Schizosaccharomyces pombe: one gene and its partner. The protein of the gene in region 1 interacts with the protein of each later gene in a pairwise test. Each region holds a gene or a part of one and is shown on either strand. Other genes may lie near its edges. The genes, in order: atf21 and atf31.

Region 1 (4,250 bases):
AAAGCTACAAGTTATATGAAACGGTCATTTGCAAAAGTCAGTAAGTTTCAATGACTATAATGAAAATATATTGACTCGACGACACATAGTGAATCATGAGTCAGAGTCCGTATGAAGTAATATGTTCCTAATTTGACGGCTGCATTGAAAATTCAGCAATCGGAAGGAATGAATAAGAGAAAAATATTCAAAAGAAGTGAAATAGCTACGTGGGTTAATCAATAGTGTCTACGTCCAATTATTATCTGAGGTATACACATGCAACAATCACGGCATTTACATCTCAGTAAATTAAAATAAAGAAAAATAATATCATTAAATTAAGTCAAAAGGTTTAAAGGTGATATCCTATGAATTCGGGAAATTGCCAACTATATCTTAGATAGTCACATTTCTACCAAATTGACGTAGAGCTTAATTAAATATTCCAGATGTTGCTAAAGTATTCTCATATTGTCAACTGCGAAGTTCAACATCTTTCGATTTGCAGAACTGATTCAATCCAGTGGCTAACTCATGGTCGTATGTACGATCCGTTCTGTCTATTTTGATTTAATGTGACCAAAAGTTAAACTTCATCTCGTGTATAGTTAAAAGATATGATAGTATACATACTAAAAATGAGAATTCTGGCAAACCAGATTTAAATCAATAACATGTTACTCTTGCTTGCGACAATATAAGTAAATGTGGGCAAGAAAGATGAAGAAGTATTAGAAACAAGTTGCGGCTAAATTTTGAGAAAGGATTGATAGCGGAAAGGCTACTAATAGTAATGATATGAGCTATTATTATCAGTAACGATAAAGCCGTTTATGGTGGCGCGCGTAAGAGAACGACAAAATTTGAAGCCTAGGTAGTTTCATCAAAACCATTAAAGGAAATAAATATGAAAAAAGCTAGCAAGAGAGGCGATATTATATTTTCGCATTCACAACTTTACTATTGACGACTACGAATACCGAGGGATAGCGTTATTATCTCTCCACAAGTAATCGGCTATTTTTTGATTGGTTTAAATAAAAGTAAATCCTGATTATATTTGACATAATCTGCATCAAATAGAACTCTAGATTTTCCTTTCCGAATATGGTGGCCAATTAACGGTACGACTGTGATGTAAATATTACACAGTGGAGCGACACGTGAATGTAGTCCCCTTCGGTTAGCTCCTTAAAATGGAGGCCTTAAAGGATAATACTGCTTGACTTTTTTAGCATAGTGCCTTTGTTAATTGCAACAAATCCCTTCAAACAAAAAAAAAATAAATTTTTATAAAGAAAAACTTTTTATTTCTATACGGCAAGTTCATCTCATAAAGTAAACAAATCATTTCCCGATTGGCTACCCTAGCCCTTCGTTTGTTTGTTTTGCAGTGACGTCAAAATTCATCTCACCCGATCAACATATATAAACATTGCGACACAAACCAAAAAGTTACCGACTGCAGCATCATATTTCTCAGCAGAAACGTATTCTTATAGTAATCCAAGTCCAAAATTAAGGAATTGGTATCTTAAACCACCTTAGTACATAGTTCTCTATTGTTTATAAGCCTCTTTACTTGCCAGGGACGCAGTAAGACATTGCTTCCTTCACCACCTTCATTATCCTTTACCTTCTTTCTCTGTCCACCTTATATATATATACTTATTTTCCCAGGAATCCTCACTTTTGCCATTAATCCATTCCATCCTTCTGTAGAACGACGAATTGTCATCCCTTCCTTTATCGTTCGTTCATTTCCTAAAACCGGGACACTACTGCATGCTTAAAACAGAGGAAAAATAAAGAGAGAACACATTTATATAATTGAAAGAAACTTTTCCATTGATAGCTCCTAAGTTTCAAATCACCAACTTGTCGGTTTATACATTCTTCATTTTCTTTTATTTACTTTTTTGAAGAAGTTCACAGGGATCACTATTCAGAAATTTTATACAAAGATATTGCATCCTTATTCATCAATCCAAATTTGCGTCACTTGATCGACCACAATTTGCTTCATCTTCCCTTCCCAATTTGTTTCGCCAGCACCTGAATAACATAGCCTCTTTTTAAGATTTAACCTTCTTCAAGAAATCACTACATATTCGCACTACTAACAAAAAAGAAACTTTCGCTTTTTATTTAGTCCGTTCTTGTATCAACTATCTTCATCGGCTTTACCGTCGAAACCATTTCAACCGCACTCAATAGAAAATTAACTTGCTCATCATCAATCTTCCATCATGGATTTCGCAAATGTGTATCTCGGGTTAGATACACTAGGTAATGAAGGATATGGTGCTAGCGTCAGTAATGGCACTCACCATGATTTTCATTTTAACTTCAATACATTCCGCGATGGTGGTAACCATGAAGTTGGAGAAAAACGCGCTGAATCTAGCGATATCGGAGTATATGAATGTAGAGGTCCAGTCCAGGGACCTAAAGATCAAACATCCTTTCCCTCGAATTCACATAATAACTACGCTTCAATAGTAGGTGATGCTAGCATTGGACATTACCTCAAAGGACCCGAGCGTACTTCAGAGGTATCATTACCTCAAACGGTAAACCTTTCGGAGATTTCTAACAATAATGACAAAGGCCAGCCTACAAATACTCCTCCTGTACGCTCAACAATTGTTGCACCTTCATTATACTCTGAAGGTAGTACTTTGAATCATTATAATAATGGATCTCATCAAGTGCTTCATCCACAATTCCAAAATGGAACCAACGCCCCATACGTAGTGCAGTCAAATCTTATGCAAAACAATGTTAATCTAACAGGAGCGGAACAAGAAAAAGGTTTGGACCTATATAAGAATTCCGCTACTGCGAATAACGATGAGATTTTCTATAATCTTGAATCCTTACGTAGAGAAGGATACTTAAACTCCAACAAGAAGCAGTCTCAATCTCCAAATGGAGACTACAACAGCAGCGATGAGTCCTGTTCCAATAAAACCGTCGCCTCCAGTCAACGACGGGGTACACCTGGCAGTAACAATGTTCATACCGCTAGTAACAATGAAACTCCTGATATGAAGAGGAGGCGGTTTTTAGAGAGAAATCGAATAGCCGCATCGAAATGCCGCCAAAAGAAAAAGCTTTGGACACAGAATCTCGAAAAAACAGCACATATCGCATGTGAGCAGTCGAAAGCTCTAAGGATTTTAGTCAGCCAACTACGTGAAGAAGTAATTTGTTTGAAGAATCAACTATTAGCTCATCAAGATTGCAATTGCGAAGGAATTCGACAATATCTTTCTTCAGAGGCTCAAGGAATTATGTCCTTTCAGAAACATTGAGCAAATGACACCCCATTGAATCAAGTTTCGTAACATTTTTTTATTATACTGTATATGCATTTCTGAGAGCCTGGATAGAATCTTGCAATAGGAGATGCTTAAAAGACGGCCAGTGCTGCTCTACTGCTTGTCTATAGTAATTGTACTTTAACTCTGGCATATTTTATTTTTCTTTTTTCACAATACTATTATTTTCTTCGCGTCACTGTGTTCATGGGATTTGCAATCTCACTCCAAACTCGTTTCATTCAATTGCTTGGGTTTTTCATTCATGTTTCTTCATTAAAAGTGTTTATGTTTCGAAGATCCTTTACGCACGTTTCATTTCCAGATTAATAATTACTGTAATGATATATCTTCCCTATATGTATTTTTTTAATAGGTTACGATTGCTTTACGAACTTGACCTAGATGAGCCAAATCTGTAATCACTGCCATATAATCTGTACCTCGTTCACAGACATGTCATTTTATCTTCAGTACGACACCACAGTTACATATATTGTTTGCTTTGGAATAAAAAAAAAATTAAGTAATAGAATAACACTTTCTGAAGTAAATGGTAGAAAAGATAACAGTATTCGTAGAGCAGCTATAATTATATGCATTTTTGCGTTTTGCAGCAAAAGATCACTATACTGCATAAGGAATTTTTATACAAACCATGTGTCTTTATTTAGTACATTAAGACTATATCCCGTTTCTACTCCTTCAGAAAGTGCTTAAGCCCTCTCTTAGCAAAGAAACGAGTGTATTATTAAAAGGAATGGCACCCTCAGAGAAAGACATTGAAGAGGTATCAGTCCCTGGAGTTTTAGCACCGCGCGACGATGTGAGGGTTTTAAAGACACGAATTGCCAAATTATTAGGAACAAGTCCTGATACATTTCCTGGATCACAGCCAGTTTCTTTTTCAAAGAAACATTTACAAGCATTAAAAGAAAAGAACTA
Region 2 (5,252 bases), on another chromosome or scaffold:
ATGGTGACTGCCTCGCACAACGCCTCTTCCGAAAACGGGTTAAAGATCGTAAACATTTTGAGTAGCCTGGATTCTAGCAAATGGGAAGCATACCTGGATCAAGTAGTAAATGCGGATTCCGCTGACGAATTAACGGTTTGTTTAACTTCAATTTTGAAAAAGGCAAAGATTATTCCCGGTTCTGAAGCTCGGGTGTTTGTTGGCTATGACTCAAGGTTTGTTTTACTTTTATTGTCGATATTAGATCACTTAATTTCTCCGCTTTTTTAAATCTTATGTCCAAGACTAACATCTAATACTTAGGTCTACTTCAGAAATCCTTGCGCAAGCTGTAATTGACGGTATTGTGGTCTGCAAAGCAAAGTACGAAAATTTTGGCCTTTTAACTACACCTCAGCTACACTACATGGTCAAGGCTTCTCAAACTTATGGTACCCCAGATGCAATAGGTGAACCTACTGAAAGAGGGTATTTTGAAAAGCTGTCGAAGGCATATCAATCCTTAATGACAGGAAAGAAGATTAAAGGGACTGTATTGATAGATGCTGCTAACGGCGTCGGAGCGGCTAAGATAAAAGAACTGGCCAAGTATATTGATCCAAAGCTGTTTCCTATCGAAATCGTAAACGACAATATTGATAATCCTGAACTGTTGAATAACTCGGTAAGTTTTTTTGATACATTGTTTACAATTGCATGCTAATTTACTAGTGTGGAGCGGATTTTGTAAGGACTCAGCAAAAGCCTCCAAACGGTATTAGTGCCCCAAAACATGCCCGTTGTGCCTCTTTTGACGGGGATGCTGATCGAATTGTGTATTTTGCGTTTGGCTCTCACAGCTTTCATCTGTTAGATGGTGACAAAATATGCGCTTTATTTGCCCAATTTCTAATCGACCTAATCCGTTCTACTGGTTTGGACCTTCAAGTTGGTATTGTTCAGACTGCTTATGCAAATGGAGCCAGCACGGCATTTTTCCAAAAAACTTTAAAGGTACCGGTTTTATGTGTGTCTCCCGGTCTTAAGCATCTTTACCATGCTGCTCAAGCTTACGATGTTGGAGTATTTTTTGAAGCAAATGGTCATGGTACAATTTTAGTCTCTCATGCTGCATTATCAAAGATAATTTCTCATGAAGTATTGTCTCCAGCCCAATTTAATGCCTTAAAAACTCTAAAAACAGTCTTTGAATTGATTAATCAAACTGATGGAGATGCTATTACTAATTTACTTTTGGTGGAAGTCATTTTGGCTCACAAAAATTGCACTTTGAAAGAGTGGAATCAGCTATATAGCGAAATTCCTAGTCGTCTAATTCGCTGTGAAGTAGAAGACCGGTCAATTTATACTACTACTGATGCCGAACAAAAACTAGTAACACCGGAAGGACTTCAAGAAAAAATTGACGCTTTGGTAGCAAAATACACGGGCGGTCGGGCATTTGTTCGATCATCTGGAACCGAGGATGCTGTTCGGTAAGTTCAATGTTAATTATCATTCTAACTCTAATTGTAGTGTGTATGCGGAAGCTAGTTCAAGGGGTGAATCTGAGGATTTAGCCCTCCGCATTGTTGAACTATTACATTAAACAATTTTTAAATTTAAATGTTAATGACTAAATTGGTTATGATGGAACTGTCTTGTTTAATGTTGTTTTTAGGGATATCTAGTAATAATTTTGGTTACCCAAATTCTTATATAATATCTAACAAAAATATGTGCATACATATGCGAATATACTTGTATACAGTTTGTTGATAGTAATTTTTTAAAATAACCAGGCATTATAATTTTGTTGTTGTGTTCACAAGAAAAAGTGTTTGTTTACATGGACTTCCTCACAATGCTTGAATTTAATATTCCCTCATAAAGGACTTATATAAACCTCGCGTGAGCAAACAAACGCTCATATTTGTATCAAGCTGTTATAAAGGATATTGACGGAAAGTTCAATAATTCACCTATTTACCAGTTAATCGGCATTATCCAGCTGTACAAATTTTATCGTTTATAGTGATCACTTTGAAATCGATTATTAAAAGAAGTTGGTGCCAAAAACTCATAAAAAAAATCAAATATATAATTCTACTCGTTTGCGAAAAAGAAGTCTTTCATAAGACGCTATAAATTTTTCTTAAAAAAATTATTGATCAATAAATCATTTTCAGCATGACCTACGAAACAAATACACCAACCGAGGAATCCATTATTCCGAAGCATGAAGATGGAGAAGAATACAACTCAATTTATCTTTCTCGTTTCGAAAAAGACATCTCAATTTCCCAAACCCTCGATTTTTCACAATTTATGCAAACTCAGATTTTATTGACAGCCAAACGTAAAGCTTTAGAGCTCGGCGACGATCGATCCCCTATTAACAATGATCCATATAATATCAGGAGAAGCGATTTTGATGAATTATCAGAATACACTGCCTCTAAAAGCCCCAGTATAATTTCCGAGGCTTCACACAACTCACCATCACGAGAGCTGGATGACTCAGGTGATGAAAACACTTCCAAATTAACTGGAACTAAGCAGTCAATGTTGAAAGCCAGAAACAGACAAGCTGCCCAAAAGTGTAGGATAAAAAAGAAAAAGTACTTACAAACATTACAAGACCAAGTCAACTACTACACTTCTGAAAACAAGGAGCTTTTGCAAAGTGCTAATGATTTAAGAGAAGAAATAATTAAACTGAGAACCTTGGTGTTTGCTCATAGAGATTGCCCAGTATCGAAGGCTTGCTCAAAAGCGTTGTTTCTAATGGGCAAGGAAAAACCGCTTACGCCTCCTTAAAAGTCCGAAATAGATCTATTCGAACTTTTTATGCATTAGACAGTTGATAGGTAAAGGCTCAAGAGGGATATAATCTTCTACGCCATTCATAATACTTAGGTCATTCGGAAATTGCCAAGTCCATCCTTGAAATGCGTTCTCTGGACACTTTTTCCCCTGGCCATTAATATTAGGATGAAAATACAACTTACCAAATTAGTATCCATATATTCAGAAGCCTTTTTCCAAGAACTGATTTCTTTATCTTTTTCCTTCGTATTTGGGGAATCAATCGTATGGTCAATTTTAGTTAACGGATCTTTTTTCTTTGTTAATGAATCAATTTCATCAGAATCAAATGCTAATTCATATGTCAAGCAAGTTTCAGTTTTTGAATATGAAAAAAGTGTCTTGATGTCTTCACCCGTAAAAAAATTCTTCTTTTGGCTTGCATCGGAATCCTACAATCAAGTCAGTATAAAATTTTATAATAAATCACATACTATGAACGAACTTGAAAGCCCTTGCTTAGTATTTTGGCGAATAAAAATGCGCTCATCTAGCATTCCACTGCTGCATAACTTAATATGTTATTCGTAAAAGCGGTCGTACCTTAAAAATGTGTATATACAGACTGGCCGCTTTTGCCCGCTTCTATATATCCTTGACAATGCTTGCAAATCTTGGGCAGGGTTCCAACTTGGTTCGTAAATTATTAACCTAGTGGATCCGGTAAGATTTAAACCGCAGCCACCAGCTTTGCTTGAAAGTAAAAGCACACTAAATTCTTTGAAGCTGGAAGTATTGAAATTGTGTACTATTAAATCACGCTCAGAGAAAGGAGTACTTCCAAGCAATTTACAGAAACGGACATGCAAAATTGATAAAAACAATTCAATCAACTCGAGAGTTTCTTTATATTGGGACACAATAACAGCTTTTTGGCAACCCCTTTGGAAACTTTTAAGTAGCGCAGCCAATATTTGCAGTTTGCTAGAGGAGAGCAACATATTCTCTTGCTCGAATACATGCTTATCTTGCAACTCCGTTGACAAAAAATTTTCCTTTTCATTTCTCAATAAAATGGTGCTATTGCATATCTTGCTCAAGCGAGTCAAAATTTTAAGATAATAGCCCTTCTGATCAACGCTTGACTTGAAACCATCGAGAACATGTCCATAAACATTCTCTTGTTGATGTGTTGGTTTTATGAATAAAACAATGTCGGCTATTATGTTAATACTGATTTTAATATTTGCATACTTCTTGGCGGTAAATGTTTAGCCAGTATATTGGCTTTCCTCCTTAACGTGAAATTGCTTGTAAATTCAAAAAGCTAAAAATCAGTATAAAATTTATCTTTAGTAAACAAACCCTTTGAAGTCTTGCAGCTCCCAATGATATGTCCCTAGAGGAAGCATTCATTGATCTACTCCTTAATATAGGCCGCTCATACTGAGCTTTAAAAGAATTTGGGGTCCCCAGAGATCCAGGAATTATAAAGTTAACCATAGAGAAATATTCTGACAAATCTGAGCGGTTAAAATTAAATAGCATTCACTGATTCATACCGTTTTGTAAAGGCGTACCAGTGAGAAGAAGCCTCTTTCTAGTTTTTAGCTTATTCAGCGTAATCCAAGTCTGACTACTCATGGACTTCAAGCGGTGAGCTAAGATTAATAAACTATTTATGAACAAATCAATACCTTCGTCGCAAATTAGAAGATCAATATCAATCCCGCATCCATAGTTTCTCAAGTACGTACAAACCTTTAGCAATTAGAAAAAAGAATAAATAAAGGAATTACCGTTTCATATCCTGTAATGATAATCGAATAAGTTTTGTTCGACGTAAATTCTTGGAAATCTTCAGCGCATCTAGCTATATAAACATGAATACGCTCGTGACCGAGCCAATTATAAAACTCATTTTCCCAATTCTAGCCATTAGTAATGAAGTTTTGAAACTTCTTACCTTCAAAAGAGTGACAGGTGCTACGACCATTGCATTGTTTATAGTCGAAGAACGATTGGCGTAATAAGACTGCTCTAAATAATAAGATTAGAGAATGAAAGTTAAAAAAAACCCTAAGTCTCATACTCAATAAAGTCCAGACAACTGTTATAGTTTGCAACGTTTTTCCTAAGCCCATTTCATCAGCCAAAATTGCACTATATCCACATTTTCCTTCCATTCCTAATAAACAGTCGTAAAGAAAGGAAACTCCTTCCCGCTGATGAGAATAAAGATGCTTTGAAAGGAAAGGATCAATAACAACATCTACATGCGTCCTGTAATGTTAGATCAAGCATTCACTTTTACCATACCTTGGATCCCAAGTCTTGGGCCTGCTCATCACCAAAGCTCCAAGCACAGTAGGATCATGCCTCGGTTTGGGTAGTGCTGATATTGTCTGGTACATTGTGTTAGGTCTCAAAGGTGGCTTGAATTTACGCTTCATTTCAGGCATATG

Evidence for each region.
Region 2: the proteins of atf21 (region 1) and atf31 interact in a two-hybrid assay, tested with the Schizosaccharomyces pombe proteins (one large-scale study listed by BioGRID).

What each region holds. Positions count from the first base shown.
Region 1 is NC_003423.3:1,720,782-1,725,031, forward strand, and holds atf21 (Atf-CREB family transcription factor Atf21), read left to right. Parts: upstream 1-2,231; coding exon 2,232-3,299; 3' UTR 3,300-3,669; downstream 3,670-4,250. Other genes in the region: mRNA guanylyltransferase Ceg1, read left to right, coding at 4,066-4,250.
Region 2 is NC_003424.3:704,391-709,642, reverse strand, and holds atf31 (DNA-binding transcription factor Atf31), read left to right. Parts: upstream 1-2,169; coding exon 2,170-2,799; 3' UTR 2,800-2,814; coding exon of another isoform or gene 2,815-2,955; 3' UTR 2,956-2,990; coding exon of another isoform or gene 2,991-3,239; 3' UTR 3,240-3,281; coding exon of another isoform or gene 3,282-3,351; 3' UTR 3,352-3,390; coding exon of another isoform or gene 3,391-4,006; 3' UTR 4,007-4,041; coding exon of another isoform or gene 4,042-4,114; 3' UTR 4,115-4,152; coding exon of another isoform or gene 4,153-4,310; 3' UTR 4,311-4,349; coding exon of another isoform or gene 4,350-4,448; 3' UTR 4,449-4,484; coding exon of another isoform or gene 4,485-4,548; 3' UTR 4,549-4,586; downstream 4,587-5,252. Other genes in the region: SPOM_SPAC1296.01C (phosphoacetylglucosamine mutase), read left to right, coding at 1-215, 304-664, 712-1,475, 1,516-1,588; ATP-dependent DNA translocase Rdh54, read right to left, coding at 2,815-2,955, 2,991-3,239, 3,282-3,351, 3,391-4,006, 4,042-4,114, 4,153-4,310, 4,350-4,448, 4,485-4,548 and 4 more.